Arabidopsis thaliana: one gene and its partners. The protein of the gene in region 3 interacts with the protein of the main gene of each other region in a biochemical or structural test. Each region holds a gene or a part of one and is shown on either strand. Other genes may lie near its edges. The genes, in order: AT1G49100, AT1G07650 and AT4G22730.

Region 1 (3,759 bases), on a different chromosome or scaffold from region 3:
CTCTTGTAAATGGGTCAAATTCTGGATGGAAGGTGAAATGATCCCGGTTAGTCCACTTGAAGACAAGTTTCTAGTGATACATTCATGAAAATAGAATGTTTCAATTGTGATATATTTAGAATAGAGAATTTAATTTTAATTATGATACGGTTATGGTGATTGAAAAATCTTACAAGAAAGTGATTGTTGGTGGAGTGGAACTATTAATATTGCTGCACTTCAAACCAGCCCACAAAAACTGCTCGGGGACACATGGATCTCCTTGCCAGTTAATTCTACTCAATCCATAAGTAAGTTGGATCTTCTTGATAGCAATCACTAGAATTTCATAGTTAATAATATATCAAGAATCAAACACATTCAAAGCTACAATTCATATGTATGAAAAATGTAAATTTACGAACCTTCATCTTGGTTTGTTTCTGATTGAGGAAACTCAACAACAGTAAAAAGTTCAATAGCATTGATGAGAGGAGGAAGAGTTGACTTTGTTGTCTTCACTAGCTGCAAGAGGCAACTTCCTCCTTTACATGTCAATGTCGAATCGGGTTGGGGGCTCATAGTATCTATACTTAACATTTTAGGACTATAAGGTCCATAATAAACTTTTCCATTCAGCAAAACATTGAATTCTCTAGTCTCGTTGGCTAACAAAGTTTGAAGCTCTGCGAAGTGAAGGTAAATGTGAAACCGTGTGGTAGAATCCTCTAAGCTCCATGGAAATTCCCATGTCCCATTATCATTAACACGGGTTGCAGCCGATGCCATTGCACCTTGTGGTAGATCAAAACCATTTGAAGTGTTTACATTGAGAGTTGTGGTTACAATTTTCCACTCCTTATATGAGAATGGGAACCATCTACGGTCGTTGACATCATCGGGGTACCTATACGTATCTTGTATTAGACATAGCTAGACAAAACCTCAAAGATGTTTGGCATCAAAGAAAGATTAAAAATATTTTTATATTTACTCATTATCTTTTATACCAAGATCCAAGAAAAAGATTCATTTCACAAATTAAAGTTTACGTACCGTAAAACGACACCTGAATCATTAAGATAACCTCTAAAATAGAGGAGCAAGGAGCTCCCAATGGCACTAATGTAAGTATCACTTCTCAAAGGTCGTAGCTCCAAGGTTGATATCATCGGTGTAGTTGTTCCTGTCTTAACAAGACAAATATCCAAAGGGGTTGACCTTGACATGTGAATTATCTCCACGAACACACCACCTCCGGTTGCATTAAAATTCACTGTTGTCACCTTATTAGGGCCAATAAATAGATCAAAGTTTGGGACAGTATTAAGACCATCGTAATTTCCATATAAGAAAGCTGCTCTAATCAAGTAATTTGTTCCTTGTGTGACATTCAGGTTATAACAGTTCCGCTCTCCATCTGGAAAGTATCTTAGAGTTACAAAAGCTTTTTCGAAGTTTCGCTCAGAGTCCTTACTGACTCGGCCATTCTTTCCACTCTCGATGAAACTAGAATCCGAAGTGAATGTTAATCCAGTAGATGGATTGGTATATGGAGATCCATCAGGTAACAGACCACAATCCAAAGTGATGAATCCTAATAAAACATTAAACCAAAACAAAAATCCTAATAAGGGGATCAATGTAAAGGAATTATCAGAAAAGGAAAAAACAAATTAAGAAAAAGAACATGAAGAGTGTTTCTTAATTTCAAAGGTTTAAAGATAATACCGTTTGGATCTTGAGCCTGAACAACATGTATAAAAGCAACTGTGATGATGAACACACATAAAACTCCATGAAAATACTTCTCCATTTTTCCTATTTCTGGAGGATAACACGACCCTTGACATCTTTTTAAGTTCCAAAATATTATTTTATATCACGTTCTGATCAAGTGGATACTAGTTAAAGAAACGAAACCCATATATTGTCAACGGCCAAAATAAAATACTAATATGTCTAGAAAACCCTGAACTTTCTAACATTTGCAATTTCACAACATTAACTCAAAACATTAAGGCGCCGTTTTCTAACATTTCAATACAAAATTATTTTTCCTTTAGCCTAATTAGGGTTTTTCCCTATGGGAAACTTTGGCTATAAGTAAGCGTCATTTCAAAGTTCTGTTATCCGACTGGTTTTATTTCAAAGAGCTTAACTCTAAAAATCGTATAAAGTTTGTTGTTCTCTGTGCCAAAAGCAAAAAGAATAGTACTCCCTAATAGATGCTTCTAACAAGTTGGTATAGAAAATTATTCATTTGTGTTTGGGGACATTAAGTTAAGTGATCAACTCCATCTCTTCATATATAGCTGACCCTTACCTTCATAGTTTTCATTCGATGAACATATATATATGCGGATAAGGTAAGTTAATACTGCGAGTGATTATAATTAGTTTTAAAGCATATGGAGAACATGTCAACGAGAGATATAGAATGTTATTTTGAGACGTGTATCCAACTCTAATGATTCTGATTTTTTTTATGAAAAAGAAGGTTGAAAACCACCCAATTTTCAAAAAAAAATTTTAAAAAAGAGAAGTTAGAAAAAAGATGATGATAGTTCACTTGTTCCAACTAGAGAGGCAATCTCCCAAATGGAGATCAAGATCTATGGATGCGGTGTTTGGTTACACGGCAAGAATACTCCATTTAGACTCTAACCACACTGGTCAGACGTATTAGAAAATATGCAATCCTTGAACAACGTTTAAAAAAATAATTGAATTAATGCTAACATTTGATTTAGTTCTATAAAAACAGAGGAATTTTCACACATGCAGTTTAAAATTCCTATATGATAACAATTAAATGTATCTTTTACTTGCAATATACAATATTTTATTTCATGATTTGGTTTTCGTCTAGGAAGTTTTAAAACAAAAACAACATACTATTAATTAATCTCTAATATATTATGTAACATATTAACGACACTATGACAAAGCCCTACAAGCCAGGTTTGCATCGTGTGGCTAATGAATCTCTTTCAGAAGTCAGCTACACTCAAAAATCTGTTTTTATTTCAAATGCTATGCTAAATTATAAAAACAGCTTATATATATACAAAAAGCTATATTTTTTTTAATACAATTTAGTAACATTTTATTTTTAAAATATACTACAGAATTATATTTAATCCATAAATAACTTAAGTCTAAACTACTCGGTTCTTTCGTTTTCTTTATGGGAAAATGAAACAGCGTGCTTCTTATCCCTCTTGGGAAAATGAAGCAGCGTACTTATTAAGGCAGCAACTGAATAGTCTACTTTTTTCACACACTCGCCTCAATTCAGTGTCATTATATAATTTAGTATCTTCCCATATACGCGATAGCGTGTTAGCCAAGGCAAACTCACTAGGGATTTGTCCTCTAAGCCACGAGATGAATCTCCGTCAAATCTACGAAGTTTAATGGATGAAAACAAAAGCCGGTATTGAAGCCGTTGTGGAAGTGCAACGCAGCGAGAAGCTAAAGAGGCGAGCGACATCAAAAGGTAGGACGGCTGCTGAATCGGCTATGATAAGAGCGTTTAACGCTCAATTTGCTGAGTATAGCTCTGAACTAAAGATAGCTCGTGCGGTCATGAAGAAAGAAAGTGATACTGGTGTTCGTCTCCGAGACAAGTACTGGCCAGTTTCTGCATTCGGTGTAGCCATCAATGTTTTGCACGAAGAGGCAGTTCTTGATTTTTGTAGGAAAGAGGGAGTGAAATGCGGTTTGTACAAGTATGTTGAAGGACTGATTGAACGCAAGACGGTGAGTTTTGCTTTA
Region 2 (3,759 bases), on a different chromosome or scaffold from region 3:
CAAGATTGCGATCCGCGTGAAATCTGTAAGAAGAATATGGATCGTTGGTTCTTAAAGATCAACGGTAGTAGATGGCTTTCGACTTTTCGTCATTCTCTGTGTAAACTCCATTAAACAACTAAAAAAAGCCTCCAACATAACAGATAACCCAAGACTTTTTTCTAATCTAAAGGCCCATATGTGAGTAGTAGGCCCAAATTGACCCAAAAAAGGGAGCAAAAAGCTCACGTGGCAGCAAGTACCCTACACACGAAGGTGCATGTTGTCGACCACGTGTTGAGCTCACCGTAAAGAGAGATCCTATGTGAGGTTTGATGATGAGCATTTCCAAGGATTTCATCGGATCGAAATCAGAATCATAAGACTGGGAAAAAATGGCAGCTAATATGATGAGACCGGCGTTTGCTTACACTGTTGTGTACGTGAAGGACGTAGCTAAATCTGTAGAATTCTACTCTAGAGCTTTTGGTCACAACGTCCGTCGTCTTGACGAATCCCACAGGTTTGTATTATGAATTGTTACTATTCTCTACGTTGGATTGTCTTAGGTGTTGTTGGATACGATCATAGGAATGTAAACGACAGAATCGTATTAGGTCATGAAACAAAACTCTCGGGTTTGAGATTCTATTGGTGCGATGTCCTATAATCAGGTCCGATCCGCTGGCTAACATGCTAAGCAAACACACCAAATATATATGTTTGATGAATGAAAGAAACTGATACATACAGGTGGGGGGAGCTAGAGAGCGGGCAAACCACGATAGCGTTCACACCGCTTCACCAGCATGAGACCGACGACCTAACCGGGAAGGTTCAGGCTACGCAGTCAGCACGTGAAAGAGCACCCATCGAAGTCTGCTTCTGTTACCCTGATGTTGATGCCGCTTTCAAGGTAGAAATCAATTATTATATACTTATGTCTATATTTGCCTGTTACTCTTCAATTCGTACGTGTTGATAAACCAGTGAGATGCTGCGTTGTGCAGAGAGCGGTGGAGAACGGTGCGGAGGCAGTGAGCAAGCCGGAAGATAAAGAATGGGGGCAGAAGGTTGGATACGTGCGAGACATTGACGGCATTGTTGTACGCATCGGAAGCCACGTTAAGTGAATTCAAAATAAAGACTCGTAAAATATGATCATTAACTAGTCTATATACATATGAATAAATATTACAAGATACTTTGGTACCTTTGTTAATTATGGTTGATGTCTTGATGAATATATTTACTTAAAGCAACATGTAAAGTAAAAAGATATACAAAGTGTCCAGCCTAGTCCCCACACTCCCCTCTCTCAATTCGTTTTTTCTTTGTTAGTATCGTTACACAAAGTAGGAAACGATGTTATGATCAAAATCATAATAGTTGGATTTTTCTCCTATCCTAGTTATCTTAAACATTTATCAAATGATTCCGCGACCCAACAAAATAACAAACGAAAGAGAGTGTAAAGTTCCTTTTACCTTTTTTCTTTTTATCTTTTGTCGTAGTCGTAGTTTCGTATGTTTGTGAGTACTTTGGCTTTCCAAATTAATACGACTGGCTGTCTATCAAAGTAGCTAAACCAATAATGTAAAGATCTGTCGTATGTGGTCTTTGAAACCCAAATCAATTGTTTGTTTTATAACAATAATTGATTCTTGATTTTTGTCAAATAGAACTTATCAACAATAATTGATGAGACTCGATTATCCGCTGAAAATATTTTTATAATTATTTTAGGAGGAAGGTATCATATATATACTACTTTTCATTGTTTGCCGGCTAAATAATTTTAGGAATTGCTGACACTTAGTATAAAACATTGAACATAAGATAAGAAACTTGTTTAATATTTAAAATTCTTTACTTCCTATTTCTTAATATAATACAGAAATATTTGTATCTTTTTAACAACCAAATAAATCTTTAACCAAAACATAGACTAGTACTCTTAAAGCAAAACATAGACTAATCTCATACAAGGACTAATCCCAAAATCGCTTGGGGATATAATTTCTGAAGGGTCTCTGTCAAACCTTAAGAAAAGATATTTAAAAGTAGCACTGGGTCCTGATATAATATACATAATGTTTACATTACAGTATTACACACACACATATTAGAATGGGCTGAAGACCAAAATAGTTAAGAGAACATGACAAAGTACAGCAAACCTTATTAAATCCTGACGACTAAAGTGGTCAATAAGCTCTAGCTTCTCATCCATCACCACTTCCTAAATGTTTCTCTCTCTATATCTCTTGCAAGCTTTCTCGCAGAAGTGATACCATATTTTATTATTTTGTATAGAAAAAATGATATATTTACATCGCATATATTTCATCATCGTCCTCTTCACACTAATTTTCCATGGGCGTCTTGGTTTTTCCGACAACAATAAACTTCACGAGGCCGAAGGTACTACTATAAAGATTCTTCCTCTAGTCCTGTCTCTCGTCTGTATATGTGTGTGCATCTCTATGATTTGCAAATCAAAGCACTTTTTTTATCTTTGATGATGATGGTTGTTTGGTATGGTTTGAAATTGGGAAGTGAGGGCATTAAAGGAGATAGGGAAGAAGCTAGGGAAGAAAGATTGGGACTTCAACAAAGATCCATGTAGTGGTGAAGGCACTTGGATTGTAACAACTTACACAACCAAAGGGTTTGAGAGTAATATCACTTGTGATTGCTCCTTTCTTCCTCAAAACTCTTCTTGCCACGTCATTAGAATGTAAGTTTCTTCTTCTTCATCCTCCTTCCCTTTCTTATCTTCCTCTTTAATTTTACCCATTTATGGAAATTACAAATATCTTTAGCGTGTCGGTGCCAAGTCACGAATATTGGATTTCACAGTCTGTAAAACAAGTGTACGTAATACAAGTATGGAGAATTTCACAGTTTTTATTTTTCGGTTTGTTTGTGCTAAAAATAATTTCACAGGTTAGAATTCCTTTTTATTTTCATGGAATATGTTTAGCATTAATTAGTTTAAGCTAAAAGAGGGGAATTTTAGGGTAACAGAGTAGTGGCTAGTTTAATGATGGTGACAATGAAGGGGAAAACCACTAAATTCCTTGGTGAAGGTTGGTTGCAATATTGACTGCACAACTCACACTTTAATGACAACCACTAACTATATGCCTACAACGTCACGTTCTCTTTTATATAGTACTAAAACTTATTCTACTGTACTTATATAATCCCTTGTTGATAGTTTTACTATCTTACTATTTCTTTTTTATGACAGCACCATCTTACTAATTAACGTTTTGTATTAAAGGTAAATAGTAAACGATAATTTGAAGCATCGGTTTTAAGATAACTAATAAAGTAATGAGTGTAACTAAGAGTTAGGTGGATGTAAATTCACATGTGAAGTAAGATTAAAAAGCTTTAAGTTTGATTTGTCTCTTTGTGACGACAAGTTTATACTTGCCAGGCTGGTCGTTGACCCGTTGACCAAAGTAAACGATTCAATAGATAATAGCGCGTTTACTTTCGCTCTATTCCATAACTAGACTTTATATAAATCGCCAGATAAAAAACTATGATTTACATAATTCAAAAAACATTTAGTGTTAGTAAAAATTAGTTATATATTTGTGTCTCTTTAGACTGTTTGATCATTTTTTAAAATCATAATTCTTTTTAAAAAATTGTCATCAAAATCGTAACAAGTTTATGATCCAAAATAATATAAGAACAACCATGATCTGTAATTCTGTATTATCAAACAGTAACACTACTGTAAATTTGTTTCATTTTGAGATG
Region 3 (3,759 bases):
TCCGTTTCTGCTATCACCTAGCGGATCCCATTCTTTAGTGTAGGCAAGACTCACTAAAGGCGATGCACGGAACTCTTTTTGTTGATCTGTGCTTAGTCTTCCCTCGGAAAACTCAGGTGTGTTACTGATCTTTTGCTTCCTTCTTCTGTAGCGAAAGAAGGTCAATATACCAGCACCAATCAATGTTATAGTGACGGTAATCACGCTTGAAATCAAAGCAACTTGTGGGAGTTTCGATGAGGATTTCTTGCAATGTGTTTGGTTGCAATGCTTTTGGAGATATACAGACTCGGGAATGTTGTGAAGAGCTGATTTATCAGTGTCTATTTCACCAGGAGGCTGCTTAAATTGTTCGATATTATTCGCATTATCGAAAGCAGAACAAGCTCTCAAAGAAGGAAAATCGATACCACATAACCCGGTGTTGTTCTCAAACTGGAAGCTCCCATTCAACTTCTTAAGACCTTTGAAGAAACATAACGAAGAAAAAACCGAGTCAAGAAACAGAGAGATAAGCTCTTACAAAGACGTTTCAAGAATCATTAACTCACCAGGAGGAACAAAGCCAGAGAGAGTATTGTTGCGCAAGTCAAGAGTGTCCAACTGAGGAATGTTGGCTAGGGTTTTTGGGATTAAACCTAACAGATTGTTGAAGCTTAAATCAAGCCTGCTTAACATACTCAAGTTTCCTAAAGTCCAAGGAACCTCTCCGGTTAGTTTGTTGTGTTGCAGAGACAACACATTAAGTTTCTTCAAGGATCCAATGTTCTTTGGTATCTTCCCTGTTAAACTGTTGCAACAAAGATCCATAACTGCAACAAAAGACACCACAAAACATTCAAATGGAAGATCGAGTAAACATTCAAGTGAAAGATCTGTGAAACATTATAAGATGCTAACCTTGCAAGCCAGCCATGGAGCCGATATCTGCCGGAATCTCACCAGAGAAGTTATTAACATTGAGATAAAGATCTGATAATTCAGTAAGATTTGTGATCTCTTGAGGTATCTCTCCAGAGAGACTATTGTAATGTAAGTAAAGACCTGACAAACATTTGAGCTCTGCAACCGCCGGAGACAATTTTCCGACCAAACGTTTCCCTTGTAATGATATGTTTGCGACTTTTAGATGCTGGTTACATGCAATTCCTTCGAAAGATCCGTCGCATGGATCGCCGTTAAACGTCCATGAACGGAGAAGCTTGTTTTCAGGGTCAAGCGACGATTTCAGCTCCATTAAAGCCTTCAGCTCTGCATTTCCTCGAACATTCGACGGAGTTGCAAGAAAGATTGAGAGAAGGATCAGTAACGTGGCACATAAGGTAACCATTCTTGAATTTTCTTGTCTCTCTGTTTAGAAATTACTGAGCTTTAGCTCATTTATCTATCTCTCTTATAGAGCAGAATAATCTGTTTTATAGAGCAGAGTAATAAAGGAACGAAATTTATAGAGCAGAGTACTCTGTTTTGTACTGGATTGGGAGCTATCTCTTTGTTAAACGAAGATAGTAACTTTTAGAGAGGGACCAATTTTGTGTCTGTTTCTCGGATTTGGAAAACTGTAACCTTCCACTCTCGTGAATGAAAAGTTATTCTGCAGAATTTTCTTGTTTTGGAGAGAAGAAGAGAAAGAAGCAGAACCTCAGCTGGTGAAAAGTGGGAAGACAACACAACGCATTGAATACACTGTCTGTGTGAGACAGAGACGTATACTGCTTTTGAAAAGGAAAGCCAAATCTTGATGACTTTTTTGGTGATTTTTAACAGTTAATGTTCACATTTGTTAGTGGGGATGTGATGTTATTAGGTGTTTGTTTATTTATTATGTCTATTGCTCGAGATCTTGGTTTATTTCACTTTCTTTGCATTGGTTTATGATTTAGACAGACTTTAAAACATTTTTAGTATATTTCTTCTATATCACAAATTCTATATAAAACAAAAATATGCTTTTTGGATAACCATTTTAGAAACAAACAGAACTCGGGCAAATCGCAAAATCATTTAGCTATTTGATCATAACTTAAGTTTACGAATAAAATCCATAGAACTTAATATCTATGTGTGGTGGTTATTATAAATGGTAAAATGGGTAAAAGTGTAGAGCGGCTTTAATGTGAGAAAACGATCTAACGAGTGAAGTTTATTTAAGTTCATGTTTGGCGATTGAGCACTTTGGCTTATAGTTCATAACTTTTGGAATCATTTCGAAACTTGGATCATCCTCTTCTTCTTTGTCAACACTCCACCTTCCCATTCCCTGCATGTGCCACGTGCACGTGTCTACTCCTGCATACACATACACATACACATATTCATATTTAGTCTCTTAAAACAAGTCTTTGGATGAGAATAGTACTGATTAAAGAATGTTTTTTTTAGATCCATATTTCTAATAGTGGTCTAATATGATTAGTTGATTATATATACTATAAAATATAGTATACTATAAAATATAGTATATATGGTCTAAATATAGTATTTAGTTAATGATGATATCGAGATTTAGAGGACAATTATTCCACTAACTCTCTTTTCTTTTCCTCTAATTATTTGTAGGCTATAAAGTAAATTGATAAAAGATTAGTTATAGAAATGCTATTTGTTGGTACATGTATTCTAACCTAATTGGGTTTAAGAACAAGACAGTTTGACTATAAGCAGAATCCAATGTGGACTGAAACATTCATCTTAATTAGATATTCTTAGATATACTCTTTGATTATATACAAACTTTTATCATATGTCCTATTATACTGATGAATCTTACTATGTGGACAAAACTTAATTCACACAATGAATAAAATTGGTGAAAATGATAACAAAAAACAAATTAGTGAAGTAATTAAGCACGTTAAAACTAAAAAACGAGACTAGTAGATTTGACGACGACGATCGAGTTCAATGTGAAAGCATAAAACCTTATCAACGGCTATAATTCAGATCTTGATTACTTCAAGGTTTTTTAGATGTATACAATAGTTTTAACAAAAAAAAAGATGTATACAATAGCAATCAGACAACTTTGATTTATCTTCAATCATTCGTCTTTTATTTTTTGGCATTTCAAGATGGAAGGAAGACTTTTGAAATACTTTTATCTTTTCGTTAACTACTTTGACCTTTTACTTGATTGTTTTACTAATAACTTTTGTCATTTTCTCCTTTTTCCCACGTCTTTTTGAATCTATATGATGTCTTTTAAAACTTTTGAAAATTTTATATTTAGTATGCATGCTTACTTACATAGTTACATGTATGAATGTTTTATCTAGAACTCTAGTCTCTAGAAGGATATCCACATTATGCTACAAAAGTAATATAAATATCGACCAAAATTTGTGTAGCCTATGTGTCAAGGTTCTGATTTACACTTGAAAATACGCAAATGAGTTCTAGATGATGGAAAAATGATACACTATATCTCGAATGTTTTTACAAAATTATTAGATAGAATTTATCTCTACGTCAAATTGAAATTTTTGACAACTTGTTGTTGCCTTTACAATTTTTATTAGCAAGATCAAGATTAGATCATTATGTATAAATTCTATTTACTCACTTTTCGTTTAATACGCAATGCCATAGAAGTGTCTTGTGATTAATTGAACCATCTCATACGTTCTACATTAAAAAGTTCTTACTTTTTACTTTTTAGTAGTGCTGTATTTTCACAGTTGTTTTTGTATGATTAAGGAAGACTAATGCACTAATCTCTCCACCATTCTCGGTAGAAATGTCGACTTTGAGATATCATAT

Evidence for each region.
Region 1: the proteins of AT4G22730 (region 3) and AT1G49100 form a complex in vitro, tested with the Arabidopsis thaliana proteins (one large-scale study listed by BioGRID).
Region 2: the proteins of AT4G22730 (region 3) and AT1G07650 form a complex in vitro, tested with the Arabidopsis thaliana proteins (one large-scale study listed by BioGRID).

Annotation. Positions count from the first base shown.
Region 1 is NC_003070.9:18,168,311-18,172,069, forward strand, and holds the start of AT1G49100 (Leucine-rich repeat protein kinase family protein), read right to left. Parts: upstream 1,796-3,759; coding exon 1,711-1,795; intron 1,577-1,710; coding exon 1,036-1,576; intron 887-1,035; coding exon 405-886; intron 319-404; coding exon 174-318; intron 71-173; coding exon 1-70. Other genes in the region: AT1G49110 (uncharacterized protein), read left to right, coding at 3,403-3,759.
Region 2 is NC_003070.9:2,364,965-2,368,723, reverse strand, and holds the start of AT1G07650 (Leucine-rich repeat transmembrane protein kinase), read left to right. Parts: upstream 1-2,114; 5' UTR 2,115-2,300; coding exon 2,301-2,403; intron 2,404-2,538; coding exon 2,539-2,719; intron 2,720-3,759. Other genes in the region: DSI-1VOC (dessication-induced 1VOC superfamily protein), read left to right, coding at 375-502, 733-895, 990-1,112.
Region 3 is NC_003075.7:11,938,955-11,942,713, reverse strand, and holds the start of AT4G22730 (Leucine-rich repeat protein kinase family protein), read right to left. Parts: upstream 1,714-3,759; 5' UTR 1,331-1,713; coding exon 901-1,330; intron 813-900; coding exon 552-812; exon of another isoform or gene 465-551; coding exon 1-464.